4 linked regions of the Tamandua tetradactyla genome follow. The protein of the gene in region 4 interacts with the protein of the main gene of each other region in a pairwise test. Links are inferred from orthologs where the notes say so. Each region holds a gene or a part of one and is shown on either strand. Other genes may lie near its edges. The genes, in order: KAT5, MOS, NEBL and CCDC136.

What was found.
Region 1: the proteins of CCDC136 (region 4) and KAT5 interact in binary tests that used the Homo sapiens proteins (3 or more experiments, as listed by UniProt). The two-hybrid records come from large-scale screens. The link is inferred for Tamandua tetradactyla from reciprocal best matches to the Homo sapiens genes CCDC136 and KAT5.
Region 2: the proteins of CCDC136 (region 4) and MOS interact in binary tests that used the Homo sapiens proteins (3 or more experiments, as listed by UniProt). The two-hybrid records come from large-scale screens. The link is inferred for Tamandua tetradactyla from reciprocal best matches to the Homo sapiens genes CCDC136 and MOS.
Region 3: the proteins of CCDC136 (region 4) and NEBL interact in a two-hybrid assay, tested with the Homo sapiens proteins (2 studies listed by BioGRID and IntAct). The two-hybrid records come from large-scale screens. The link is inferred for Tamandua tetradactyla from reciprocal best matches to the Homo sapiens genes CCDC136 and NEBL.

What each region holds. Positions count from the first base shown.
Region 1 is NC_135335.1:8,814,753-8,822,365, forward strand, and holds the start of KAT5 (histone acetyltransferase KAT5), read right to left. Parts: upstream 3,009-7,613; 5' UTR 2,960-3,008; coding exon 2,886-2,959; intron 1-2,885. UniProt on the Homo sapiens protein: Catalytic subunit of the NuA4 histone acetyltransferase complex, a multiprotein complex involved in transcriptional activation of select genes principally by acetylation of nucleosomal histones H2A and H4.
Region 2 is NC_135332.1:99,783,593-99,789,260, reverse strand, and holds MOS (proto-oncogene serine/threonine-protein kinase mos), read left to right. Parts: upstream 1-4,091; coding exon 4,092-5,144; downstream 5,145-5,668.
Region 3 is NC_135327.1:229,742,395-229,750,337, reverse strand, and holds the start of NEBL (nebulette), read right to left. Parts: upstream 3,004-7,943; 5' UTR 2,795-3,003; coding exon 2,714-2,794; intron 2,558-2,713; coding exon 2,486-2,557; intron 1-2,485. UniProt on the Homo sapiens protein: Binds to actin and plays an important role in the assembly of the Z-disk. May functionally link sarcomeric actin to the desmin intermediate filaments in the heart muscle sarcomeres.
Region 4 is NC_135327.1:170,216,933-170,224,403, forward strand, and holds the start of CCDC136 (coiled-coil domain-containing protein 136), read left to right. Parts: upstream 1-4,462; 5' UTR 4,463-4,477; coding exon 4,478-4,535; intron 4,536-5,291; coding exon 5,292-5,399; intron 5,400-6,988; coding exon 6,989-7,240; intron 7,241-7,323; coding exon 7,324-7,398; intron 7,399-7,471. UniProt on the Homo sapiens protein: May play a role in acrosome formation in spermatogenesis and in fertilization.

The sequences.
Region 1 (7,613 bases), on a different chromosome or scaffold from region 4:
GTGTGTCCGGCGGGGGCGTGCAGTGTCTGAGCGGACCTAGGGGGTCTAGAGAGGGGGCGGCAGCTATTCCCGGCTGGAGAAGTGGGTGGGACTCAAACTGGGAAGGGCCTTGCATGCCGGGCCAAATATGTGGCCTTCGTCCCTTAGAGATGAGGACTTACAAAGATGTCTAGATTTGTTCTTTTGCATATTAGGTTTCTGATTTTAGAGAGTGATGTGTGGATTATTCATTCATATACTCCAAAAATATATGGCGAGTCCCTTCCATGTGTCAGGCACTATTCGAAGAGTCTGGAGTACATCAGCGAACAAAATAGACCCCTGCCCTGATGGAGCTTACATTTTTTGCGATAGAAATAGTAAATACTAAACACAGTGAAAAAATAAATCGTTTAGGATATTAAAGAGTGATAACTGATGGAAAACAAAAAAGAAATCGAGCAATGTAAGTTTTAAAGTTTAGTTGCAATTTTAGAGTGCTTTGGGCAGGTGGCTTACAATGTATTATTTGAGCCAAGATTTTAAGGGGTGAGGGAATGAGCCATGCACATATCTGAGGGGAAAATATTCCAAAACACAGACCACAGTAAGGGAGTAGAAAGCCCAAACTCACATCATCACGGGGCAATGGACACCGTGAACATTTTGACTCTCCGGTAAAGCAAAGGTGGATAAATGGTGGCCACCAGCCCGAATCCAACCCACTGCTTGCTTTCCTACAGCCTATGAGCTAAGAAGGATTTTAATTTTTTTAAATATTGGGGAAAAAAAACAAAAGAACTTTTGTGGCTCATGAACATTGTGTGAAATTGCATGAATTATATGAAATTCAGAATTCAGGGTCCATAAAGTATTATCGGAACATAGCCACTTTCATCGTTCATATATTGTCTTTGATTCTCTTCACTCTAAAACTGAGTACAAGGCCCACAAAACCTAAAATATTTATTGTCTGGCCTTTTACAGAAACCATTAGTCAACCCCTGCTTTATTTTCTGATCAACACAAAAATAGTTTCTTCTTGTGTGCACTCTGCTGTTATCAGCTTGTTCACTTAGCAGTGTAAACTTGAAGCCTTGTGAGGTATCTGAAGCACTATTTTAATGGCTTTTCAGTGTTTTGTTGTCTTAGATGCCTCTTAGCTGTCATAGCCAGTTTCGTGTTGTGTCCAATTTCTCCTATTGCAAACGATCCCACAAAGATGATCCTTATGCCAGTTGTTCACATGTTCATCCCACCAGGGTTTGCTTTGAAGTTGTATTTGGGGAAAGACTGCATCTGTGCTGAGATCACCTGGTGGCGGTGTCCCAGAATTGGGGCAGTCAGAACAGAAAGGGAGACCGAAAGGAAGGCAGTTGAAATTGGTCATTCACTGATGCAGACAATGTTTATTGAGAGTCTGCCACGAATCAACTTCAGGCAGATTTCAGCCCTGCCTCTTGGCCAAGGTCATTCGTGACAGCCCCTCCCATCCACACGTCTAATCTAATGGCCGCTTCTCAGTGGCATTTGGTACCATTGGCCATTCCCTCTTCCTTGAAACACCCTTTTCTTGGCGTCTGGGCTACGACACTCTTCTGGTTTCCTTCCTCCTTCCTCTGCCACTCCTCATCTCCGTTGCTGGGTCCTCTTCCTGGACTTTTATCTACACTTGCTCCCTTCTTGATCCCCTCCAGGCTCATGGCTTTCAGTATTATTCACTTGCTGAGGTTTCTCACATTTATATCTTCAGCCCAGACCTCTCCCGTGATCTCCAGACTCAGTGCGCACTCACCATCTCCACTTGGATGTCTGAAGGGCGTGTCCAAAACCAAACCCTTGATTTTCATTCCCAACCTGCTTGTCCCACCATCTCTCTTGTCCGTGTCAGTCACGAATCCATCCTTCCATGTGCTCAGACCAAACACCTTAAAGTCATCCCTGATTTCTCTGCTTGGTTTGCAGTCAACCCATCAGCACATCCTCTCACTGCTTTCACCATTATCACCCAGATGCACCCAGGACTACTGCAATAGCCTCATACGCAGGAGAGGAGGGAACTTTAAAAATATAATTGACACCACGTCCCTTTGATGATCCAAACCCACCCGTGGTTTCCCGCTTATTCAGAGTAAAATTCAGAGTCCTTGCACAAATTCATCTCCCCCCACACACACAAGTTACCACTCTGACCTCATCTTTCCCCACCGTCACCCACTCCAGCCACACCGGCCTCCTTGCTGTTTCTGGGGCACAGGAAGCGCCTACCTCCCCCATTGCCTTTGCTGTTTCCTCTGCCTGCAACATTTTCTCTCCATTTGTCTACGGGGCTCACACCCTCACATCATACAAGTCCTTGCTCAAGAGTCACTGTGGGGTGCATGGATGGCTCAGCGTAGAATGCTCACCTTCTATGCAGGAAACCCAGGTTCGATTCCTGGGCCATGCACCAAAAAAAAAAAAAAAAAAAAAAAAAAAAAAAAAGGCACTGTGGTGGTTCAGAGCTGTAAGTACCAGAAAAGCATGTTCTCAAACTGAATCCATTCCTGTGGTGCAAACCCATTGTAAGTAACATCTTTGGGGGAGGTGACTTCAGTGAAAGCGTGGCCCAGCTCGATCAGAATGGGTCTTAATCCTATCTATATCTTACAAGCAGAATGAAATTCAGACATTAAAAGAGAAAGCCAGAGGAAGTAAGAAGCTAGAACTCACCAGAAGCTAAAAGAGAACTGAGATGGTGGGTGTTCGAGTTTACTAGCTGCCGGAATGCAATATACCAGAAACGGAATGGCTCTTTAAAAGGGGAACTTAGTAAGTTGCTTGTTTACAGTTCTAAGGCCAAGAAAATGTCTCAATTAAAACAAGTCTATAGAAATGTCCAATTTAAGGCATCCGGAGAAAGATACCTTGGTTCAAGAAGGCCGACGACGTTCAACGTTTCTCTCTCAGCTGGAAGGGCACATGGCGAACATGGCGGCATCTGCTGGCTTTCTCGTGGCTCTACCAAAAAGGGACTCTCTCCAAAATGTTTCCTCTTTTAAGGGATTCCAGCAAGCAACTCCACCTTCAGTGGGTGGAGACACACCTCCATGGAAATCATCTAATCAAAGGTTACCACCCACAAATGGGTGGGTCACATCTTCATGGAAACAATCAAAATGCTCCCACCCAGCAATATTGAATGAGGATCAAAGGGCATGGCTTTTCTGGGGTCCACCACGGATTCAGACCAGCACACTAGGAGAGGACGCCACAGGCATTTTCACGTGACAGAGAAGCCCAGCACCGTGGATCTCCAGCAGCCAGCCCCAGAATGCCACAGGCTTCTGGGAGAAACCATTGCCCTGATGATGCCTTGATTTGGACTTTTTCTTAACCTCAAAACTATGAGCTGTTGAAATGCCATTGTTTAAGCCAGCCCTTTGCATGGTATTTGCTTAAGCAGCTCCGGAAACCAAAACGGCCCCCTTTCCAATGAGGTCTTCTTTCACATCCCCAGCTAAACCTGTCCCCACGCTCCCCTCCACCCTGTATTCCTCATCCACTTCATTTTTTTTTTCAGAGCATTTATCCCCAGCTATCAAATCATACATTTTCCTTATTCATTTGGTTTGTCTTTCCCACTCTGGGATGAAGGCAGTGTTTCTATTGTTTTGTCCTCCACTATTTTCCCAGCTTCTAGAATAGTGTCACACTCACAGGAGGCATCCAGCTAAAACTTGTCAAATGGATGAAGCACCTGACATTGAAGAAGAGCCAGGGATGTGAACTGACATTTATGGCAGACAGGAGTTAATCCTGTAAGGTGGGCAACCCGGGGCTCAGGAGAGATGCTGATCCAGGTGGCATATAGGGAGGGGTCTTGGAGCTTCCAATGCCTGACCTAAGGCTTAGAGGATGGGTGGTTGTTAGCTATAGAAAGGGGTTGGGGGCTGTATCAGGTAGAGTTCTCTAGAGAAACAGAATCAGCAGGAGATAGATATAAAATTTATAAAATGTCTCATGTAACTATGGGAATGTAAAGTCTAAGGTTGCAAGCTGGCAACTCCAATGAGGTCCTCAACGAACTCTCAGGAAAGCCTGGCTGGACAACCATGGAAGTGTAAGAGTCCAAGGTCCATGGGGCAGGTTGTGAAGCTGGTGGCTCCAATGAAGGGTCTGGACAAATTCCACAGGAGAGGCTCACTGGCTGAAGCAGGAAGGAAGAGTGACTGTCTCTTCTGAATCCCCCTTAAAAGCCTTCCGGTGATTAGATTAAGCACCCTCATTTCAAAAGGCGCTCATCTTAGCTGATTATAAATGCAATCAACTATGGGTGCAGCCAATGTGATCATGATTTAAGTCCACAAAATGTTCTCATAGCAACAGACAGGCCAGCGCTTGCCCTACCAGACAGCCGGGCACCACCACATGGCCAAGTTAACACATGAATATTGGTTTTGGGCACCAATATTAATCGAGCACCAACTGTGTGCCACACCCTGGGACAGCAACATGAGTGAAAACAGATGAGGTGCCTGCTTTATTGGGACAGACATAAACAATTCAATAAAACAAAACAAAAATGATCGTTTGCAAAAAGTGCTGTGAAATGATAAAACAGAATGTCAGAGAGGGTGGGGCTGCCAGTGCAGGTCTCTAGGTCTCTGGGACAGCTGTCTGTCAAAATTGCTCCCCCTGCAAGTAGCACAAAGCCCCATTCAAGCTGGACTAATCAGGGACTGTCTTGTCCCATGAAGCCCAAAGGCACAATGAAGCTTTAGGAAGGGTGTCATCCCCGGACTCAACAGTGTCACCAGCAACTCAGGTTTCTTTATGTCTTCCCACTCCCAACTCCTTGGGGTTGCCTTTCTTCCACATTAAGGCCGACTCCCCTTTACAGTTGCAAGATTGCAGCCCACAGCTCCAAGGCCACCCACCTGTGTCCATGGTCATGTCCAGTGAGAAATCTCTTTCCCAGCTATGGCAGGAAAGTCCTGAACTCCCCTTGGGTTGAACCATCTTAGGGAATTTGCCAATGTCTCAGCCAGTTTCTGTGATCAAGGGCCTAGGGCTACCCTGACTGGCTTTGACTCGCATAGCTGGGGTGGGTCAGTCACATCAACACAGTAGCTGCTGGATGGGGGAGAGTGGAGTGGCTGTTAGGAGGCAGCCAGGATGTCCCTTGAAGGAGAACATGTGACCTGAGTTCTTAATGATGAAAAGGGACAGCATTAGAAGATCTGGGGAAGGTGAGATCCCACTGGGAAGGAATGGCCAGTGCAGAAGCCAGGGAGGGTGGGGGTAGTTCATTTATTCCAAGAACGAGAGAAGCGAATGTGAATAGGGAGACAGTCCCAGAGGATAATCCAGAGGTCTGAGAGTTCACAGGGCCCTTTGTGGCACTTGTATCAAAGCCATGTTTTGCTTTAAAGGCAGTGGGAGCCATTGGGGAATTCGGAGCAAAGGAATGGTGTTATCTGATTCAAGTTTTAGAAAGGTGAGCTGAGTGAATAAGGATTATTGGGGACACGGCTCAATCGAGTGGAGACCTGAGTCTAACTAGAAAGTTTTTGCAGCTGTGGAGGCAAGGGCTGAAGGGGGCAGGAGCTTGAGGAATGACAAAATGTGGTGAGAGAAAGATAGGGATCTTGGCCTGTTGGGGGCTAGCAGTTCTCCATCTAGACCCAAGATCTCTGGGAGTCTCAGTTACTTTGGAAGGAGAATCTTTATTCTAATAAATCACAGTCCCTTTATGGAAAAACTGAACACAGCCTTGTATTTTGCAAATGATGTGAGGTGGTTGAGCTTGCTAGATTCAAAGTGGGGATGTCCAGAAGGTTGTGGGGCCGAGAGCCTGAGCTGGGCAGAGGGCCCACAGGGAAGGCTTGGATCTGGGGATCCCCTGCACAGATGGCAGAAAGGCCTGGAAAATGCCTGCTGGAGTGGACAGCGGGGTGTTCTTCACAGAGCCCAGAGAGGAGTTCCTTGCAGACATGGGGACAGGAAGAAGCCAGAGTGTGAGGGAGGCAAGGAAATGGAAGCAGCACAAAGAGACACCTCTTAAGAGAAATTTGAATGAGAAGTGGAAGGAAAATGTAAACAAAACAAAAAAACTAACAGCTATATACTCAAAAAAAGAAAGCAATTGGAGACTTCCGGAGAAGATGGCGGCTTAGTAAGACGCGCGGATCTTAGTTTCTCCTCCAGGACAGCTACTAGGGGAGTAGAAGCGATACAGAACAGCTCCCAAAGCCACGACAGAGATAAAAAAGACAGCGTACCCCATCCTGGAACGGCTGGCTGGCTAAGAGAACCCGCTCTGGTGAGATCGCCGAGGGGCGCGGGCTTCACCGGGCGGCAAGCGGCCAGAGTCACTCCCTGCCCCCTCCCCGGGTCGGCTGGGAGAATTGGACAGGCGGTCCCCTCAAACCGCGGCGGCTGGCGCCCACATCACGTGCGGACCCCCGGACCAACTGAGAGAATTGGATCGGAAATCCCCAGGCCGCGGAGAACGGCGACGGGGGGGGGGGCCCTTCCAAACCCGTGACTCCCCGGGAACGTGCACTCTCCCGGGCGGGCCGCTGCCACTGGCGCCCTCCCGCCAAGCTTGGCACCCTGGGCCGACTAGGAAATTCGGACGGGCGCTTTCCCAGGCGGCGGCGGCCAGCAACCCTCCCCGCGTTCGGACCCCGGGCCAGCTGGCACTCTTCCAAGCCGCTTCGGCTGGCGAACCTCCCGGACGGCGAGAGTTTTCCAAAGTTAAAGGACCCACAGCAACTTTTACTGGTGGGACCCGCAGACAAACGTGTGCCACGAGTGCCACCTACTGGGCAGGATAAGAAAAACAGAACCCAGAGATTTCACAGAAAAATCTTACAACCTTGTTGGGTCCGACACCCAGGGAAATCTGACTAAATGCCCAGATGCCAGCAGCAGAAGATAACTGTCCACGCTCAGAAGATTGAGAATATGACCCAGTCAAAGGAACAAACCAATAGTTCAAATGAGATACAAGAGCTGAGACAACTAATGCTGAATATACGAACAGAAATGGAAAACCTCTTCAAAAATGAAATCGATAAATTGAGGGAGGACATGAAGAGGACATGGGCTGAACATAAAGAAGAAATAGAAAAACTGAAAAAACAAATCACAGAACTTATGGAAGTGAAGGATAAAGTAGAAAAGATAGAAAAAACAATGGATACCTACAATGATAGATTTAAAGAGACAGAAAATAGAATTAGTGATTTGGAGGATGGAACATCTGAATTCCAAAAAGAAACAGAAAATATCAGGAAAAGAATGGAAAAATTTGAACAGGGTATCAGAGAACTCAAGGACAATATGAACTGCACAAATATACGTGTTGTGGGTGTCCCAGAAGGAGAAGAGAAGGGAAAAGGAGGAGAAAAACTAATGGAAGAAATTATCACTGAAAATTTCCCAACTCTTATGAAAGACCTAAAATTACGGATCCAAGAAGTGCAGCGCACCCCAAAGAGAATAGACCCAAATAGGCGTTCTCCAAGACACTTACTAGTTAGAATGTCAGAGGTCAAAGAGAAAGAGAGGATCTTGAAAGCAGCAAGAGAAATACAATCCATCACATACAAGGGAAACCCAAGAAGACTATGTGTAGATTTCTCAGC
Region 2 (5,668 bases), on a different chromosome or scaffold from region 4:
ATCACTTTCTCACAGACTTTTTTAAAAATCCCAGATGTTTTGAATCAACTCCACTCTTGTCTTTGTCTGGGTATGATGTGAGGTTATCACATTTGATCAGATTAATGTACACCTGTAGCAGTTTTAGTCCATAACAGTAATGTGACATGCTTTTCTATCTTTAACATCAGAAATAAAATTTTAAAGCAGAAAAATGCTCCAAGTAAAATTTAAATTGGGTTAATGCAATGTTACCCTACAGTCCTGGTAGAATAACTTTTAAACCAATACTGTCTAACGGACTGTGAAAGTTTGAAAAGGTTTGTGTACCCTAGAAAACCATGTTTTAATCTTAATCCCATTTTGTAAAGGCAGCTGTTTCTTCTAATCCCTATTCAGTGCTGTATGTTAAAAACTTTAATTAGATCATCTCCCTGGAGATGTGACTCAATCAAGAGTGGTTGTTAAACTGGAATAGGTGGAGACATGTCTCCACCCATTCTAGGTGGGTCTTGATTACTTTACTGGAATTTTATAAAAGAGAGGAGATTCAGAGAGATCTGGGAAGGATGACAGAACGCTGCAGAATGACATAGCCATGAGAAGCAGAGAGTCCAACTGCCAGCAACCTTTGGAGATGAAGAAGGAAAATGCCTCCAGGGAGCTTAATGAAACAGGAAGCCAAAGAGGAAGCTAGCAGATGATGCCGTGTTCGACATGTGCCCTTCCAGCCAAGAGACAAACCCTGACCGTGTTCACCATGTGCCTTTCCACTTGAAAAAGAAACCCTGAACTTTATTGACCTTCTTGAACCAAAGTATCTTTCCCTGGATGCCTCAGATTGGACATTTCTATAGACTTGTTTCAATCAGGACATTTTCTTGGCCTTAGAACTATAAACCAGCAACTTATTAAATTCCCCTTTTTAAAAGGCATTCCATTTCTGTCATATTGCATTCCCTCAGCTAGCAAACTAGAACACAGATGTTTGTTTCTTAAGGGTATAAATCCACACAGATTATTTTTTATGAGTTTTGTAATAATAACATTTATGTGTTACCATAAGCCGGGCCCTGATCTAAGTATTTGAAACTGTTCATCTTCACAGCAAACCTGAAGTCAGTAGAATATTTTCCAGGTGAGGAAACTGAGGCACAGAGACAATAAGAAACCTGGGTCATGTGACCCTAAAACCTTTGTTCTTTATGACCTGGTTTGGGCTTTATCCATTTTGGAGATACAAAATATTATATATAATACTTTAAATTATATAATATTATATATCTGTACATATATACATGGTAACAAAATCAGGATTAAAATTAAACTTTAATTAAGAACTTTTATGTACTAGGTACTGTGCTACTCACAGGAGAGAAAAAAATCTCTAAGGGACATAATTCCTGTCTTCAGGGCAATTATAGTTTACAGAGAAAGAGAAACAAATTTTAAGATGCCTAAAAAAAAGGAAAACAAATGGCTATTTTAAAAATGGATATTCAATTAAATATTCTTGGACAATTTGGCAGGTGACAGATCTAGTGGATTTAGAGTTCATGCGTGTATAGATTACCACATTTTCCATAGTACCTCACATTTTATGTGAAAAAGTCAGACTCTAAACTTTGAAAAAATTGTTTATGCTACTACCTTAGAAATAAAGATTACATGATAACAAGTCACATGATCTTAAATCATAAGTAGTAGCTAGAAAGTGTAATGTCTATCGCTCTTATTCTGCTACTATTTGCAGCACTCCAGCATGTTACAACAATTTCAGAACCTTCATATTCATGGTTATTACAATTCCAAATAGATGATGGCTATTAAGTCAGTTTAGCAATTAGACCTATTATAGGATATAGTTTTATTACTTTCTTATTTAACTCTGTTTTAGTTTGTAAGCTGCTGGATTGCAATATACCAGAAATGGAATGGCTATTAAAAAGAGAATTTACTAAGCTGCAAGTTTACAGTTCTGAGGCCATGAAAATGTCCTTAGAGGCACCAAAAAGAGGTTACCTTCACTCAAGATAGGCTATTGCCATCCAGAACACTCCTGTCAGCTGGGAAGTCACGTGACTGGCATCTCCTGGGGTCTTTGGGTGTTGGATACCTCTCTCAGCTGGGAAGGTACACAAATATCTGCTAGCGTTCTCTCCTCATTTCATAAGGCTTCACCCGCGGTGCCTTCCTTTCACATCTCCAAAAGGTCTCTGGCTGTGTGGGCTCTGTTAATTCTGTTGGCTCTAAGAATTTTTCCAAAATGGTTCCCTTTTAAAGAACTCTATAAGCAACCCCATTTGAATGGGTGAAGACAGATTTCCGTGGAAACCATCTAATCAAATTTACCATCCACAATTGGGTGGGTCACATATCCAAGGAAACAATCAAAAAGATCACACCCAGCAATACTGAATGAGGATTAAAGGATGTGATTTTTCTGGTGTACATAATAGCTTCAAACCCACACAACTCTGTTCATTGTTGTTTTGGTTTGCTCTCATCCTCTTATATTTGGGGTTCAGTACAATTGCATACAACTGTAGTTCTACTAAAATATTCTATAGTTTAATGTTTAGATTTTGTTTTATTGTTGTTAATCTGGACAGGATTCCCCAATTTTTATTCCAAGATGATAATGTTTATTTTAATATTGAATATTATCCTAATTTCTTACATGAAAAGATTGAGGCTCATACAGGTTTAATCTAATACCCAACATCATATACTAAACCAGAGGAGTAGCACGGAATAAACATCCTATTCTAAAAAGGACTTAATTTCAAATTACATATGTAAATGAGCCATGTTTCTTAACGTATCTTCTCAGAACCAACATATTTCAGAAGCAGAGAAGAGCTATTTTCATAGAAATGTGCTTGCATATCACTTATGTGCTTTTAGCACTGAGTATCAGAATGGAACTTTATTATTTGACAGAAAATACAGATCCTAACATTCTCATGTGTTTTGTAATGGATAGGGTAATACTGTTTATCATTTTCCCAAGGATATGGTATGAAAATTACTTTTTCATTATGAAACTTAGAAAGGAAGAACTTATGGTTGGGTTGCAAGACCCTGAATTATATTTCAAAATCTGATTTTCCGCATTCTGTATAGGCACCAGTGAGTCCGTGCTATCTTTTTATCTTCAGAGTTTCCTCTTCTAGAATTCTCCTGTACTTATTATTTGAAGCTCTGATCATGACTCTGAGCCTTTTTTGTTCTGCCCCTGATTCTGCTTCAAAACTTCTGTAACTCATTTGCTGCAAAGTCTAGAATCTCTCTTGTAAGTGAGCTTTCTGGGTGGGCCGAATTGCTATGGAATGGGAGGACTGCTGGGAAGTTGATATGTTGCTAAAATCTTGCTAATTTGCCATATAAGCAGAATAGAGTGTCCGAGAATTTTCCTTTTCCCTGATGAACTTAGGAGGTGTGTGTTCTGAGCTGGACAGTGCTTCTATTTGGATCAATTACTCCAAGATTACAACTTTTATCCATATGAATGTGGCACCTAATTATCCCTGTAATCGGTTAAGGAAATGTCTGCTGTTTGTCTTTCAACTCTTTCTGCCAATAACTGCTGGAAGTTATTTGATGCAGCTGGAGAAGAACACTGACAATCAGAGTCTGCAAAGTGTGAAATAATTTCATTTTACTATTGTGGTCTCTTTAGTCTCAGGTCTGATAATGTTCAGCCGATGAGACTTGGAAAAAGCTCATTTTGCTATAATTGAAGAAAAGTGTCACAGAGGGGGAGCTGTGGGGCAGCTCCATGCTGTTTATATGGTGAGCTCTTCCTGAGAGCTTGCTTTTATAAGAATTCACTTAAGTGTTTAAGGGAAATGCTTTCATCTGAAGGTGATTGTTGTGCTTCCTTCAGATTTTTCCCCTATCCGATTAAACACACACACACACACACACACACACACAAAACACCCTGGCTGTGCAAAGGCACACAGATGTGGCTCATTTGGAGACAATGAAGGGAGAGGATAAAGAGGCTGTGGCGCCGGGAAGGCCTGGTCAATCATGCATCCAAGCTGGCGCAGCCCTTTCTTTCCTCTGCGTCCATCTGGGTCCCGGGTCTCCACCCTGAAGGCGCCATGCCCTCACCTCTCCCTCTGCGCCGTTGCCTGCCTGGAGAGCTGTCGCCCTCGGTGGACTCGCGGCCCTGCAGTAGCCCCTCGGAGCGCCCAGGTAAGGCAGGGAGGCTCTTCTGGGGTGGCACCCCGCCCAGGGCGCCGCGGCTGCCACGCCGGCTGGCCTGGTGCTCCATTGACTGGGAACAAGTGTGCTTCCTCCGGAGACTGGGAGCTGGCGGGTTCGGCTCGGTTTACAAGGCCACTTACCACGGTGTGCCCGTGGCGGTGAAGCAGGTGAACAGGTGCACCAAGAACCGCCTGGCATCGCAGCGAAGCTTCTGGGCTGAGCTCAACATAGCCAGGCTCCGGCACGACAACATCGTTCAGGTGGTGGCGGCCAGTACGCGCACGCCTGCGGGCTGCGATAGCCTGGGCACCATCATCATGGAGTTCGGGGGCAATACCACTTTGCACCAAGTCATCTACGGCGCGCCCCACCACCGTGGGGACGAGGAGGAGCCTCGCTGCCGGACCGGGGAGCAATTGAGTTTGGGAAGGTGCCTGAAGTATTCCCTAGATGTGGTGAACGGCCTGATTTTCCTCCACTCGCAAAGAATCGTGCACTTGGACCTCAAGCCGGCTAACATTTTGATCAGTGAGCAGGACGTCTGCAAAATCGGTGACTTTGGCTGCTCCGAGAAGCTGGAAGGCCTGCTGTGCCTCCAGCCCCCACGGTGCCCCCTGGGTGGCACATACACGCACCGAGCCCCGGAGCTCCTGAAAGGAGAGGCGGCCACCCCCAAAGCAGACATCTACTCCTTCGCCATAACCCTATGGCAAATGGCCACCAAGGAGGTGCCCTACTCGGGGGAACGACAGCACGTGGTCTATGCAGTCGTGGCCTATAACTTGCGCCCCTCTCTGTCCGCGGCGGTCTTCACGAACTCGGTCCCGGGTGGGAGACTGGAGTGTATCATTGAAGGCTGCTGGGCGCCCAGCGCTGTCCAGCGGCCAAGTGCAGAGCTCCTCTTTGCGGACCTTAGCTCTTTAAAGGCTGAGTTCGCCTGGCTTTGAACTTGCTTCCAGAGAAGCTTTTCCCTTTATTTCTATTCATTTTTTAAAGAAGTGGCGTTGTAGAAAACTATTTGTAAGACAGGTTTTTAGAAAATAAAGTGACTTAATAACTTCTTTAGTCTAACATGGTTTTACCAAGACAAACAGGCAGGACTAAAATTTGAGCAATTGTGTAGAAACTACCGTTATTCCTTTCTGCAGTTAGTTTGCTTGTGTTCACAGTTAGCACAGTTAGTACAGTTAGTACAGTTATTCAGATTTGCTGTTGACAAAACCAGGTTGTGCAGAACAGAATGGAACTGCAGAAATGCCAAAATTTTCTATGCATTCGAACAGTATGTACCATACCCACCATCTAACTTCAAATGGTCAAATTCAAACTGTCACAAATTACTGGTCCTATGCCAAATCCATAAAGACTTTTTTTAAAGTTATTTTTTTCTACTTCCTCCTCTAAAATAGCATTCTCATTTGTAAGGACCCTCACACATAATATTCAGGAATTGAAACTAATTTCAGTTCAA
Region 3 (7,943 bases), about 60 Mb from region 4:
GGACACAGGGCTGTGGCCCATCTCCAGTGATCAAGCTCATCTCCAAGCCCAAGTCTGGGGCGCACCAGCCGAGCGTCTGGACAAGCAGGACTGTGAGGCTGCTTCCGGAAGCTTCCAGATGCCACACTCTAGAAAGGAGGGAAACCACAACCCAATTCATGCAAAAAAACAGACAAAAACCAAAAGTGACTTCCAACCCCAGAAAGGCTCAGGCAAACAGACGGACGGTATTTGGGGACACGGTGGATTACCAAACAAGCCCTCACTTGAAGGTGTGCTGAGCTTTCAGTTTGGGCCAGGGAAGGAGAGGCGCACAGTTTCAACGCGGGGCCCTGGGAGGGGCGTCACGCAGGCCTGGCTGAGCGCAGTGGGTCTCCCTCGGGTTTCACTCCACGATGAACATAGCACCAAGTACACACTTCTGACAACCATTCAGCCGAGAGGACAACATTCTGGACAACATAAGAACTCAATGTCTAAGTCCCCCTGCTCCATATAAACAATGATGATACTGAGACCAAATAAGGAACTTACTATTTAGTAACACTGTTTAACCAGTCTTTTAAAAAACCAACATTTTATTTAGTTCAAGTCCTTCCAGAAAGGATAAATGAAAATGCATCTTTAAATGATTGTACTTACACCCGATATACTCACTCCTTTTTTCATTTTTTTAACAAAGAAGAATTTTTAGACTGTGCACAGATAAATATAAAATTCTAAAAATTAAAGCAGTGCCTTCTTCACAAGGACAGAATTCTATTTTGAGACAGAAAGTACAAATGAAAACTGATATAAATTGATTCACAACAGTCATGCGCTAAATGTTTGATATTTGTGTATCCAAATATTTAAATATAAAATATTTAAACATACATTCTGCCACACCGAGCTGTAAGTAGAAAGCACTGCCGTGTGTGTGATTTCATCCACATGAGAGGGACTTCAGCTTTTACAAAATGGTAAGGTCAGAGCCTTTCACTGCAGGGCTGATTTTAAAGTCACTGATAAACTATGTTACCCAAAATAACTCCCACAAAATCACCTCCTAACTGAAGCTGTCACTTTAGTTTTAGGCATGACAACCCTACTGTACCTGTCTGTGGAGAGTTTGGGCATTTAAGGTTTTCAAGGTGACACTAGTGTCCTTAATACTAGCACAATACAGCAAGCAGCCTCAGCTGCGGGGGCTGGGGGTCGGGGTCTGCTCCCCACTGCTGAACTGCGTGACCCCTCAGAGCCTCCCTCCCTCACCTCCGAAAGGGGATTTAACACACCCTTCTCCCCAGGCCCCAGCACCCTGGAAGTCTCAGTTATTGCATCATCATGGCGGTCTCCTCATTCTTGTTACAGTATACGGCGAATGCTCACGATCGACACATTGGGACTAACTGACAGCACAAAGAAACAGTTTAAAATGTCACTACAACCGCGCGAAGGATAGAAGGATATGGGAACGGTGCTGAGACCCCTCCCCCCACTGTTTCTGACAACCTAGGGGCACCGCAGGGCCACAGCCACACTCAGGAAGCCCCCCCAGGGCGCGTGCACTGCGCGCTTGGGGTCCCCAGCCTGGAAGGCACGGCCGCGTGGTTCTTACTCTCACGGGGTTCCAGGTGAGGCCCTGAGCCCGGGAGGCCACGGGACCCCACCCCATCCCCACCCAAGATTACAACCAGGTCCACCCAGGCAGGCCGGTGCAGCCATCCCCCCACCCCGCCCGTTACCCATGGGCTGCCAGGTAACGGGAGTAAATGAGGCTGGGGGTGCCTTACACCCACCGTTTTAAAGAGGGTGACCTAAACCCTCGCCCTCGGCAAGCACACCTGTCTGTGAGCTTCTGCAATTCTCATCTATGTATTTACTGTAACTATATCTGCGTTAAATAATGCTATAATTCTGTGGTTCCCTTGAAACATAATATAAACTGATCCCAGTTACTTTAAAAATCGTTACAAAAAATGCTGCTTTTTTACTAAAGTCACTGTCATCTGTTCCAGGGCTCTCAGCCTGCAGTGTGGGAACCCCTGGATCCTAAGTTGTAAATAAACGTTGCGCATATAGGCATACGCGTTTTTCTGGTTAGGGGAACCACTGCATTCATCATTAGATTCTTCAAAGGCCCCCAAAACGTTTTTAAAAATCACTAATTTAGATAGAGATCCTCCCAAAACATATTACATCATTATACACATATTTTTTTTTAATCTTTGGGTTCGCACAGGGAATATGCTCTGAAATTCAATGCTTTATGATTTCATGCCAGAGGGACAGTGAAATCCACAACAGACAGGATTCTGGCCAGGGAATGAGGAGACCTGCTCCCGCAGGGGGTCTTGGGGAAGTCATTTGAAATTTCTGGACTTAGTTCCATAGCTGGTAAATAACAGAGAATTTCAAGAGTTTCTCCCAGCCCCAGGATTCCATGCATCCTAGTGCCTCACACACAACGCAAAATACGACAGAAATCACTGGAGCCACTCACATCACTGTTCAGTTTGGTGCATTTTCTGGCCAATTCCATGCGTAGGTCTTCAATTACAGGCTTCCAGAACACCTGTCAATAGAGAGAGAGAGAGAGAGAGAGAGAGAGAGAGAGAGAGAGAGAGAGAGAGAGAGAGAGAGAGAGAGAGAGGCAAGTAAAGGAAACCTGTTCATCTTTGGCTTTGAGAGAGCCACGCAAAGACCTCTCAGCAGGCATCCCCTCACTCACCATGTCATCTTCGTTCTCCTCCCCCCCTGCGTTTTCTTCTTCAGTTCCATCTTTTAAATCCTCACATACCGGGACCTTCATAGTGACCCTTTTAAAACCTACGTATTTGTTAAATTCACTCGTGCTTGCCTTTTCGTGGCCGGTGGGCTTTGCAGCCTTGTGCTCTGGTGTCCTGGTACAAATGACCTTGCCCAGGCCTCACCCCGCTTTAGCTCACACTTCACCTCCTTATCTCAACTCCGCGCCAGTGGCCGGGACGAGAGGCCTCCACCCGCCAGGCCAGCCCCATGAGCAGACAAAATGGAGTGCTGTGACGTATAAAGCCAGCATTCTTTAAATTGGCTAAGAAACCCAAAGGGGAAAATGGATGCACGTCTCACTAATGCACGAAACATTCATAAAATAGTGTGAAAAGGACACAAAGCTTATGGGAACACTGCCGAGCTGGGACACTGGAGCTCTCGCAGTGGAACACAGGGTTATCTCAAAGACCCTCAAAACGCCACCTAAATAAAGCTTTTGCTGGAATGTCAGACAAAGCTCTGTTCTGGTGCGCTGGATCCGAACTTCTGAAACTCATTTCACTGCCCGGCATTAAAACGTGAATGAGACACGCATGTACTTCCCACATTCTGAAAACACCCACGTCATATCAGCTGATAATATTATTTTCATAATTTACTGTAAGCCCTCCGAACCAGTTCTAAAAATAAAAAATCTATCCTGAGTTAACTGTGACAGTTAATCTTATATTAGTTTGTTTTACATCATTTTAATTGCAAACCTCATTACACATAAGAAACTGCAGGTAACATATGTTTTTTATATCATTTAAGGATTCTAGAAATGTCACCATCTCAAACCTGCTCATGTGTCAATTTTTCTTAATTCTCTAGTTATTTATGTATTCCAATGTGTACCACACTTGGAAATATAAACATCAACTATAACAATATCTATAATGTATCATCAACCATATAATAAAAAAATTTCTCAGAACAAACTCCAAGTCTCCACACAGCTCATAACTTGTACATTCAGTTATTTAATCCTAGGGTAAATTAAGGTTTGCAAAACTACAGCATATCCTGCTGAACATTAAAAAATGCCCTATAGTGAATAATGAAACCAATTATATAAAATACAACATTATTCAAAATAATACATCAGCAAAATAGCCAAGCACAGTGGTGCTTTCTCTTGCTATTAAATCCAGATATCAAGTTACTAAAAAATATTTTCCTTGATCTTGCCTAAACTGAAAATTCTGGCAAAAAAAAATCTACACAATCATTATTTACAGATTATTTCTCAGATTGTATTCCATGGGCAAAAGTTCCAGAAAATACTCTGTGAAAAAACAGGGGTTCTATCAACAATCTTTGGAGACCTATACACTAAATCTTTACTGAGACCACTTTGAGCTCCACACCACATTAGAAGCTCTGAGAAGACTCAAGACCAAGAAACCGATGTGGTTTTACTTACCTCCACATTTCCCAAACGTGAAATCCTTTGATTTTTTTTTTTTTTAACATTCTCTCTATGCTAACGACATGGAATGCTCTGGAACTGCTTTTGGTCTTTTCATGATACTGGTTTTGATACTGGCTCATCTAATAGCATCACAGATCCTACTGACCAGCAAAACATCAAAAGAGAAACTGCCAGAAAGTCTTGAAGTTGGAGAACTTCACTTGGAAAGAACAGGTGTGTCACATCTGCCCAGCACAGCGACTGCAACCAGGAGCTTCTCTGTCCCACAAAGCAGCAGGTGGGGTGAATTCTGACTGTCCCCTCAAGAACTCTGCCAGATGATTATTCTAATATCCTATTGAACACCCGTGCTATTACTGCTTCTGGACAATAGGAAATAGACATTGTACAAGCTTTTCTTGCAACCTCTAGAGGGATAAGGAGAAAATCTCGCCAACGCTGCCTAGGACACAGCCTTGGCTCGTGTTGGAGAGGAGATGCTTGTGCGGCTCAGGGAAAGATCTCAGCCCCATAACGCATTACCTTCCTCAGGTTCATCCACGGTTCTTTTCGGATTCCCCATCATGTTCTTATGGTCTCTCCATCTCTGCTGGAAGAACATAACCTGTTGAGATTTAATGCAGAAAAGTCTTGAAAGCAAAATCAAATGCCAACATGTAATGTGAAAGCAATTTTAAATAAGTCTATTTGAGATTTTAGAATCACAATTCAACACCAGAGGGATCCCTAAGAAATCATTCCACCTTGAGTTCTCTCTTTGCAGAGCAGAAAATTAAGGTCCACAGAAATGGTCTGTAAGTCTCACTTGCAAAAGTTGTTCAACTGAGTGCTGGGAGCAGAACCTAACTTGCTCATTCTTTCAACAATGTTGTGTTGTCAGGCCCTGAGCTCAGTACTGGGAGGCAAGGGGGAGACACTCAAACTTTCCACCCAGAGAAGGTAGGAAATAAAAGAGCCGTCATTGAAGATGGCTGGATAAACTCCTTCTGGGCTGTTTGGCAAGCTGGAGACGCCGTTACTTTTGACTAAATGCACCTTCCTTCCTTCCACCTACAAGTAACATACAAAATCCACATAAAGTTTCCTCCAAAAAAATAGGTCAAGTGTTTTTTCACAGCAAATCGCTCTTATTAATAGCTCCAAAATATGACTTGGGGAATAAGAAGAAATTAGCTTTGAAGGAGCGCCATCATGTTTCAAAATTCCCTATCACCTTTTTGTTTTTTCAAAACCAAGATCAATGTTGCAATTTTGTAACCAAGAAGTTAGGATTTAAGGGATGATTATGATTATCAAATCATTTTATAGATATTCCTTTTTACTTTCTGGTATATTAGAGTAGACAAAGGAAAATACCTGAAATCTCTGAACTTCAACCCAGCTGCCTTGACCTCTGATAATGAAAGTTTAGCCTTTATCTTGTGCCCTTGTGATTATAAAAACCTTATGAATGACTCTCACTTGTACCCATTTTATCCAGTTTTTTTTACTTTGGAGTCTTGTGATCACTAAAGACAGCCCCAGAAGTTTATTAATAAAGGGCCTTGGGTCTGCCCAGAACTAACCCACCCAATACCAAAGTTACCTTGAGAACAAAGACCGGATCTAACCAAAGTGGGCCTGGCATGCGCAGGAGTTCAGACTTTAACCTACAAGTCACCTGACCTCATTATAATAAAATCATGCCCACCACACATGAAGGCCTTTTTCCCACAGACTTTCTGTGATGAAGCGTGTGATCAATCTGCACATCCTCAGTAGTTAGATCACCTCTAATTACACTACATGATGTCTGATCCTAAACCCTGCCCATCTTTCAATTCTACAAAACTATCCGAGTTACTGGGTTGGAGGAGAGAGGTCTTCGGGCTCACTGACCATCTGAGCTCCTGCTTCGTGCCCAGCAGTAAACTCTCTTTGAAACGCCGGCGTCTCAGGAATGGGTCATTTGAGTGCGTCCGGTGGGGGGCGGGGGGGAGAATGTACCACCTCTGCCAGGTATTAATCTGATACATATTTTCACCTTGGAGCACCCCAAAAAAGATCACCCATGTAGCACCTACTACCTTTTTCTTAATGAGGATTTCAAGCATTCTGTCTACTTTTTACCTTCGTGCTCCACCCCAGCTCTGACCTGGAATGACAGGGAGATGGGGCTCCATTCCTGTGGCCTCGGGATAAATGATTTAATCCCCTCGGTCCCCAGTTCTGCACAGTTAAACAGAAAACAGAACTGCTGTCAGTCAATAAAAGAAAACCCCTTTGAGAAGAGTAAAGACCCTTACAAAGACAAGAGTTTTCAACTACCCCATAAGGACACAGAGTTCCAGAGAAGCCCTTGAGGGGAAAGGGGAAGGGTCTTCTCATTTAAAAGGGAGACAGGGACCATCAACGTCTCTTCAAAGGCACGGGAGGCTTCCTACAACCAGACAGCACAGAAATAACAGGCAGCTGAAGACTTAGAACACAGGGCTCTTGTATTTTTTTATAGCAAGGCGTTGTTTTGTAAGGAAATACATTTCCATAGCAACTGCAGAACCGTGGGTAGTTCAGGTTTCTGGAGACCCCACACCTGGCCCAGGAAACTCATCCATCCCACAACCAGGGGCAAACGAGCACCTGACTGTCTTCCTTCAGCTTTTTTCTTAAGGTCACAGGCTACAAGATTCTCCCAGCTCCTGATAAAGACCGCGGACTTCACTCACTTCCGTGTGTTCCCTGTTCCCCTCACAGTGTGGGACACGTGCTTTTCCCAGCACAGTGAGGTCCGCCTTGGAAAGGAGAGCCCTAACGGAGGCGGCAGCAGCTCGGGATTCAGCATGGGGCTGAGGAAAACTTACAGGAATAAAACTGGTTTTTTTTCTTTTCCATTTAAAAATTAATTCAACATTTCTTAGTACAAAATATTCACCCTAGATAGTCAGCTGGGAGAGAAATTAGTCATCTGACCTCTTTTCCTGCTTTGATGGTCTTTCACACACTCAGTTTTAGCAGCCTTTTTTAAAAATGTAAGATTATGCTCCAGAAGGCTGGTGCTTCTCAGGCTATTTATCCTCCCACTTTGGCATCTGCCCCAAAGAGAGCTTTTACTAACGGATGGGAGAGGGAGACTGTCCTTAAGAAAAGAAACAGCAAGCATTCTAGGGCAATTTATTTCCTTTTTAAAAGAGAAGATTTCTGCCTGATATTAGATCAATCTATTTTTGCAATCTACATTCATTAAGCATACCTTCTCTTTTTAATAGCTATGTCATTACTGTTTGTTAATTAGAAATCAAAAGAATACAAAGTAACCCAATTAATCACCAATTATGCTGTTAAAATAAGATTTAATAGAGTGCTTTTCAGTATTTATATTCCTATTTTTCCCAACCAGAAACCCAATTCAAAAATGAGAACTTCCTATTTAAACTGCCATTGGAGGAGGAGGAGGAGAAGAAAAGAAACAGCAGCTAATTTTTAGCACAGCAGTTTCCAGGCTGGGAGTGTCTGGGGTGCGAAAATGAAGAGTCTGCACTCCTCCAAACACACCGAGAGAAAAAACGTTCGTACTCGGCGCACACATTAACACAGACGCCCAGTGGACTGGAAGACTTTTGGTTTAAGATGCAACTTACTGAGATACAGTGCAGTTGAAATAACAAGGACAGTGACGCTAACTCCGTAATCACACGAGACCCTCCCCCCGAAAGAGCCGGGGGCTCGGCGGGCGGGCCGCGGTCGTAACTGACTC
Region 4 (7,471 bases):
AGGGAACCCATACATTCAATGAAGGAGGTTAAAGTAAGATAGCAACCAGTTACAAGGTATGGGTCTTACTTAAATCATTCGAATCAGCCAGCTGGTTATTTGATATTATTTATGGTTAGGTTTTTTAAAAGAAATATAGATGAAATCTAGGATTTGCTTAAAAATATTTGAGGTGGACTTCGGATGGAGTTCTAGATGAAACAAGATTTCCTGTGAGTTTATAATTATTGAAGTTGGATGATGGATGTTCAATATTGTATTCCTACATTCATATAATTTTGAAATTTCCTATAATGTAGAACATAAAAAGAAAAAATAAAGGGAGGAAAATTAACTGTAATGTAAAACTAAGGCACTATGAAAAAAGGCAGGTTTTTGAAAAAAACTAATAAAATGTCAAGAAACGAAAATCAACCATTGAAACTAAAACTTGATGCATTTAATAGCAGATTAGATTCAATTAAAGAAAGAATTCAATTAAAGAAAATAGAGGTGATGAAATCATTCAAAATGTGGGTAAGTGATGGCATAGGAAATATGAAAGAATAGTTCAAAGAAAGAGGGAAAGAACGAGAAAGTATAATATATATCTAATAAAAGTTACTGAAAGAGACTGAGAGAATAGGGGAAATGTAATATTCCAATAGAAAACAGTTGAGAATTTTCCAAAATGGAAGAAAAACACAGGTCCTCAAGTTGAGAAAATAAACCAAGTCCCAATCACATAAACACATTGGGGTAAAAATGCAGAATGCTGAAAAGGAAGAGAAAATCTTAAAATCAACCAGAAAGAAAATATTCGCCAACCAAGAAAACAATTATATTGGCAGCCAACTTCTTATTAGCAATGAAAAATTATAGAAAAAATGAATATCTTCAAAAAGCCAAAAGAACTGTAAACATAGAGTTCTAAGCCCACTTAATTATCTTTTCCAGGATGTAAAATAAAGACACTTTAAGACAAAAGACTGAAAATGCTTACCGCTCAAAGACTTTTACTTAAATGCTACCTTAGAATAGCCTCCATAAGAAAGAAACTGAACCAAGAAGAAAGGAATGAGGTGCGAGAAGCAATGATGAACAAAGAAATGTATAAATATGTTAGTAAATCCAAATAATCACTAACCCCAGAGATGATAATAATAATAATCACCACCACCACAACATCAACAATTAATGGGGATTAGAAACAAGGTAAAATACTAAATAGAAATGTGGCAGATCATAGGGAAAGAGCAGAATTAACTCTACTAAGGTCTTTATGTTACTCAGGCAGATGATGATAATAATGATTGATTCACCTTAGATTTAAGATTGTTAAAAATATATATTAAAAGGTAATCACTAAAAAAACAAACAAACAAACAAATGAAAAAAGTAATCCTACAACAGTAGAAATAGAATGTGTAAATTTCCAAATCAGTAGAGGTTAGGGACAAAAAAAAGAAAGTAAGCCTCCTTTGGTGGAGTATAAATTGGTCCAACTACTTTATAGAGTAAGTTGGCAATAAAAGCAAAGTTTAAGATGTACATAATCTATGACTTGGAACTTCCACTTCTAGGTATCTATTCTAGAGAAATACTCACATATATCCAAGGAGGCATCCACAATACTGTCCATTGCAGCATTATTTATAATATGGAATACTGGAGGTAGCCTAAATGTCCAAGAGCAGAAGAATAAAGAAGTAAATTATGGTATATTAAAAAATGAAATAGTATGCAGCAGTTGAAATTCATGAATTGGAAGAATATGTATAAAAACACGGACAAATCTAAAATAAATATTGAGGGAAGAGAAGGAGGTTTGAGGAAGAATGTGTACAGTATAACACCATTTAGAGTTTTTAATCATACAAATCAATACTATGTATTGTTTGTGGATACACACATATACAGTAAAGCTGTAAAAACACATACAGAAAGGCTGCCTCTGAATGAAAAGATATTAACACTTGTTGGATTTCACTCATGAAATTCACTCATGAATTTCACCCTATTCACAGGGATATTAGTTATATTATTCTTTTTACTGTAATTTTCTGCATGTTTTGAATGTTTACACCTTTTCTTTTTTTTAATGAAAGGATCTAGGCATTTAGAAATAAGGGGAAAGGGGATAAATGGCTCTATCAGTCCTCAGGAAGGCTGATCTGCTGGGATGGGATTAGGAAGGAAGTGAGTCCTGAATCCAGGGATTACAAGGATTAATTTGGATCATACAACCTCCACCCCCAGCCCAAGATGATCATCTGGCTGACATTCCAACACTCCTGGGCTCTTCTGAGATGCACCCCTGGACCACAGTCCATCTCCCCCTCCCCACACCCATACCTGCTAAACCCTTTTCTTCTGCCTCCTAAACCCTCTCCCACCTTCAACCCAGTACTGGTCTGGCCAGGTTTTGCCCAAGTTTAGGTCCTGAGAATAGACTGGTTTTGGTTTCCTCTGAGTATTCCCAAATTAAGGGGAACCAGAAGCCAGAGAGAGATTAGTCCTGATCCTCAGAATCAGCAGCCCTCCCTGAGGAGAGATTAGAGTGTCACAGTCAGTAGTCAAGGCCAACTGCTAACTTGACCCTGCGGGCTGAGCTGGAACAAGGAGTGTGCAGGGAAGAATGCGCAGTCATCCGGCTTCCAGCAGGAGTCTCCATCATTCCCAGGGCTTCTATGCATCCCACTACCACTGCCAGCTCCTTTCCACCACCCCTGACAAAAGCCCAGCTCCTCAAATCTGGACAGGCCTGATGTCTGCACCTGGCCCTCTAGAAGGGGTGCAGGTGGGCTTTCTCAGCAGTCTTTTCCCAAGACTGGGTCACCTTACCCACAAACTCTTCAGGAAAACACCCTGGATCTCTCTGTTCCTCATCTCTGAGAACCACAATTGGGGGTGGGGAGAAGGGTGAAAGAGAGATGAACAGACTTACAGCATTTCTAGACAACATTTAACCCTGTAAGTGTGAAGTCTTATGCTCCATGATAAGACAGGGGCATTAATGGTAAATTTGGGAGATTTACCTTAATTAGTTTTTTCCTTTTTATCAGGCGTTTTGTCAGGTGCTGGAGATACAAAGAAGACTTAAGATACTTCCCTACCTTCAAGACATTGGGCAGATAGAAATGTAAAAACCAGATTCTGACAACCCAGAATGACTGGTGCTGCAACAGAGGAAAGGAGGACCGGGTATTACCGGAGAACACAGAAGGCACCTCCCTGGGGTAGCCCGGGGCCTCAGGGAAGGCTGCCTAGAGGTGACTCCAAACTGAGGGGTGGAAAGTAAACGAAGGAAAGGCTTACTTTCTGTGAAACAGAATGTTCAGATACGGAGGACTTGGGAACCTGGGAACCTGTAGGAGTGAACACAGACAATATACGTCCAGGGCCAGTGTGAGGGGCTAAGCAAGGGAAGAGACTGGTGGTCTTCCCAGCTTAGGAATTTCCCAACAATTTTCTGAACGTGCTGGGAAGTGTCCTCACTTCTTTTGGGGTTGAGACCTGAAGAGAAGATGTAAACATTCCTTAAATCAATGATTGAATAATTGACATATGCCCACTGGCTTCCAAACCTTTCTATGAGGGTGAAAATCAGCACTGCTCACTCTGAGCACGCTGCCGGGCGGGGTAGGAGACGTGACTCGAGGCCCATGGGAGTGGCAGCAGGGAGAGGAGGGCCAAGTGGGGTCACTAAGGAGCCCCTACTAAAAAGGCCCCTGGCTCAGGCTTGCTGAGAGCTCGGGGAAGGCAAAGTGAATCCGGCCCCGCTGTTGGCATATCCCGGCCTCAATTTCCCTCCTCCCGACAGCGGGCTGCGCTGGGGCGCGAGAGGCCAGGGCGCTGGGCTGGGGCCAGCAAGTCGCGGCCTGCAGCGCGGGAACCCGCGCCCCGGACCCGGGTCGGCGCTGACGGCGGGGACGTGGAGGGCGCGGGGCCTCCTTGGTGAGGGAGGGTGGGGAGTGTGCGCGAGTGTCTGCGCGCTTGGAGGAAACAGGCCGGGAGGATTCATCCATCCTTGCCTTTTCCCTCCACCACCACTGAACGGGACCGGGCTCCGACACAGGGCGCACAGGGACCCCCGCGCGCAATCGACTCGGGGCAGGGCCCACCGCGAGAAGCAGCGGAGCTTGTGGCTCCCACTCGTGGCTCCCACTCGTGGCAGCCCGTAAGCTCCGGCTGGCTTGCGTCGGGGGTCCGGGCCCGGCGGCTCCGGGTTCTCCCTGAGCGCGGGAACCGGGGCGTGTCGGAGGGGCTCGCCCGCCTTGCCGCGCCCGCTCGCTTCGCCCAGTCACGGAGCCGGCCGGGGGGGCGGGCTTCCGGGCGGAGCCGGCCGGGCTCGGCGTCAGGTGGTCCAGCCAGGGCCCGCCCCCTCGGCCCGCCCTCCCTCCTCCCGGCGCTCCGGGCTCCGGGTCCCCGGCCTCTCCGGCGGCGGTTGCGGCTGCGGCTTCTTCTCCGGGCGGCGGCGGCTGCTGAGGGAGCGGCCATGGAGGCGGGCGCCGGGGCCGGCGCGGGAGCCGCGGGCTGGAGCTGCCCGGGCCCAGGTCAGAGCCGCCCCCCTCCCTGCTCACCACCGCCACTCCTTCCTCGTCTCCATCTCTCCTCCCTCTAGACCACCAGGTCCTCCCTTCCTCCTTCCTCTGCTCCTCACCTTTCCTCCCTAAGTCTTCCTCCCTCCATCCTGGTCCTCCCCCCGGGCCCCGGTCTCCATTTTCCACACACTGGCCGCATCCTCCCTGGCAGTCCATCCCCTGAGTCCTCTCCATTTGGCCTCTCCAGCCCCGATAATACTCACAGCCCCTGGGTGCCCAGACCCTGAACACCCAATGGCCCCGGAGGCTCCGGAGTGCGGGGCGAAGGAGGGAGGGACGAGGTCCCCTGAGAGAATGGGAGCGGCCCCAGCTCCCTCCCCTAGCCCTCTCCCCCATCACCTCCATCCCCTTCCTTTCGCCACATCAGCCTTTTAGACTCTTCTATCTTGCCTACCTCCTCCCTATCCCTTCCGGGCTAAATATATACACACCCTCTTTCTGACTGTGCAAGACAGAGGAGCTTAAAGGAGGAGGTGCGGATGAGGTTGGGCAGTACAGAGCTGGGGGTTCTGGCAGCCCGAGTGTGAGCGCGCCCCAGGTAGGGCGGTCGAGTTGCAGAGCTGGACAAGAGTGAGTCAGGGGCCTCCACTGGGATTAAAAATCCCAGGGCTCCAAAGGGTTAGATGGCATGTCCCTCTATCTTTCTCCCTTCACCCCAGCCCCCAGCAAGCCCTCACATTCCACAATCCCTCCTCTCACTGTGCACAGGACCAACAGTAACTACTTTAGGCTCCTATGAGGGGTCCGAGGGTTGTGAGAGGAAGAGAGGCCAACGTTGGGGGTCCCTGGAACGCCGAGGAATGCAAGCTATGGAGGGTGAGTTTTCCCGAAAGGCTTCCACCCCATCCCCCAACACACGCCCAATTTCCCTTCCCTTTCACTTCCTCTCTGACCCCTAGAGCTCCCAAGTGGGACACAGCCCTTCCTCAGTTCACCTCAGCCCTCTCCCCAGGGCTCAGGCTTTAAAGGGAAATCCAGGGTGCCTCCCTCTGGGGCTTCTGTCACCTCGTTAACCAGGCTGTGTGTCCCAGGGGAGCTGGCAGACAAAGAAAGAGGCCTTGCTTGGTCAGAGCTCTGACGCAGCCTTTCAGCAGGGGGTTATTATCACTGCTTACCCACCCAGTGATAAGTGGTGACTCGCCTTATTCTCGCCTGCCATACCAGAGACTTGGGTTTGAGTCCTGGTGCCTGCCCATGCGGAAAAAAAAAAAAAAATTAGGGGGTGGGCATCTGAGCTGTCTTTCTGGTGCCACCACCATCAACTTCTGATGGAAGCTTTGTGGCGTTGGTTCTCTAGGACAGATTACTGCCTGAAAGAGAGGGCCTAGGAAGGGAGCAGATGAGAGGGCCAACATCCCACCACACGCATGTGATTTGTCAGGTGCGGCCCACACTGTCCCCTGGAAAGACACTGGTCTGTTTTTCAGGACTTCCTGTGAAGTGTCCCCAGGCCCCTCTGCATACCCTGCTGTCCCCAACAGGAACAGATGATGCAAGGGGACCCAGGTGAACCTCAGGATGCTGATTGGAGAAAATAAGACCAGAGATTCAGGGATTTAAAACAAAGCAAACGATCACTATCTAGACAAGAGTTTGTTATTTAGAGTAACTGCATTGCAGTAAGGAGGGGATGCTTACTAGCCAGAGACTGAGGCTCTATCACCCCAAGTTCTTAATGCACTAAAATGATGAGCTTTGTTTTACACACAAGGACAATCTAAGACTTCCCCTGAGAACTGCCTTATGGTCAGCAAGGGAGGAGGTGGGGCGTCATAACACTCAGGTAGAGGAGAGGAGACCTCATGGCATCCAGCAGGGAAAAGAAGGCTGAGTCAGCCTTGTCGAAAACTTCAAAAAAGCTACTTAATAACATAACGTTTGATAGGGCCCCAAAGTTTGTCCAGTAAAACACTATGAATCATTTTATTTGGATGTTTTTTCTTACTGAAATGCTTTCTTATTATAGAAAGACTAATTTTTCACAAGCCACCCAGATAATTTTTTAACTGTCTACAAATTCTGAAGCATAACTCTTGCCTCATTCGACCTAAAGACATGCACAGTGTCTGAATTCTTTCTTGGCCACTTGTCCCACTATCCAAAGATCAGGATTAGAAGAACCAAGTATCTTGTGCAAGCTGCACGTGACTGAGCCAGCAGCAGGCTAATCCACTTGCCCAAAGGCAGTGGTAGGATGGTGCAGGTGCAAAGGGCCTGGGAAGCGCTACCTCCAAACTTGACACTCACACCCAATGACTCATCATGAGCTTGGGTCCTGTCCCTCTGTGGGGGACACCAGATGGCACTATTATACTATCTCTGCCTTGGGGTAGTGAGTTTGAGGGCTTAAAGGACTGTGGGAAAGCAGTTGGCTCTTACTCTGATGAGATGGACATCTCTCCCAGGGGAGGTATTACTCCCAGCTCTCTATGAAGAGGAGGAGGAGGAAGAGGAGGAAGAAGAGGTGGAAGAAGAGGAAGAACAAGAGCAGAAAGGTGGCAGTGTGGGTTCCCTGTCGATTGGCAAGCACCGGGGCCTAAGCCTCACGGAGACGGAGCTGGAGGAGCTGAGGGCTCAGGTACTCCAGCTGGTGGCAGAGCTGGAGGAGACCCGGGAACTGGCCGGGCAGCATGAGGATGACTCCTTGGAGCTGCAGGGTGAGTGCTTGTGTCGGGAACTGAGGGCCTGGGCTCAAAGGTGCTGTGCTCCTGTCTGACTCTGTTCCTTCCTCTCTCTGCAGGTCTCCTGGAGGATGAGCGGCTGGCCAGTGCCCAGCAGGCAGAGGTGTTCACCAAGCAGATCCAGCAGCTCCAAGGTAACTTTCAGGTCTAGGACTGGAGGGCCGGTGGCCACCTATGTTACCATTCAAGTACTTTTCCCCTGACAGT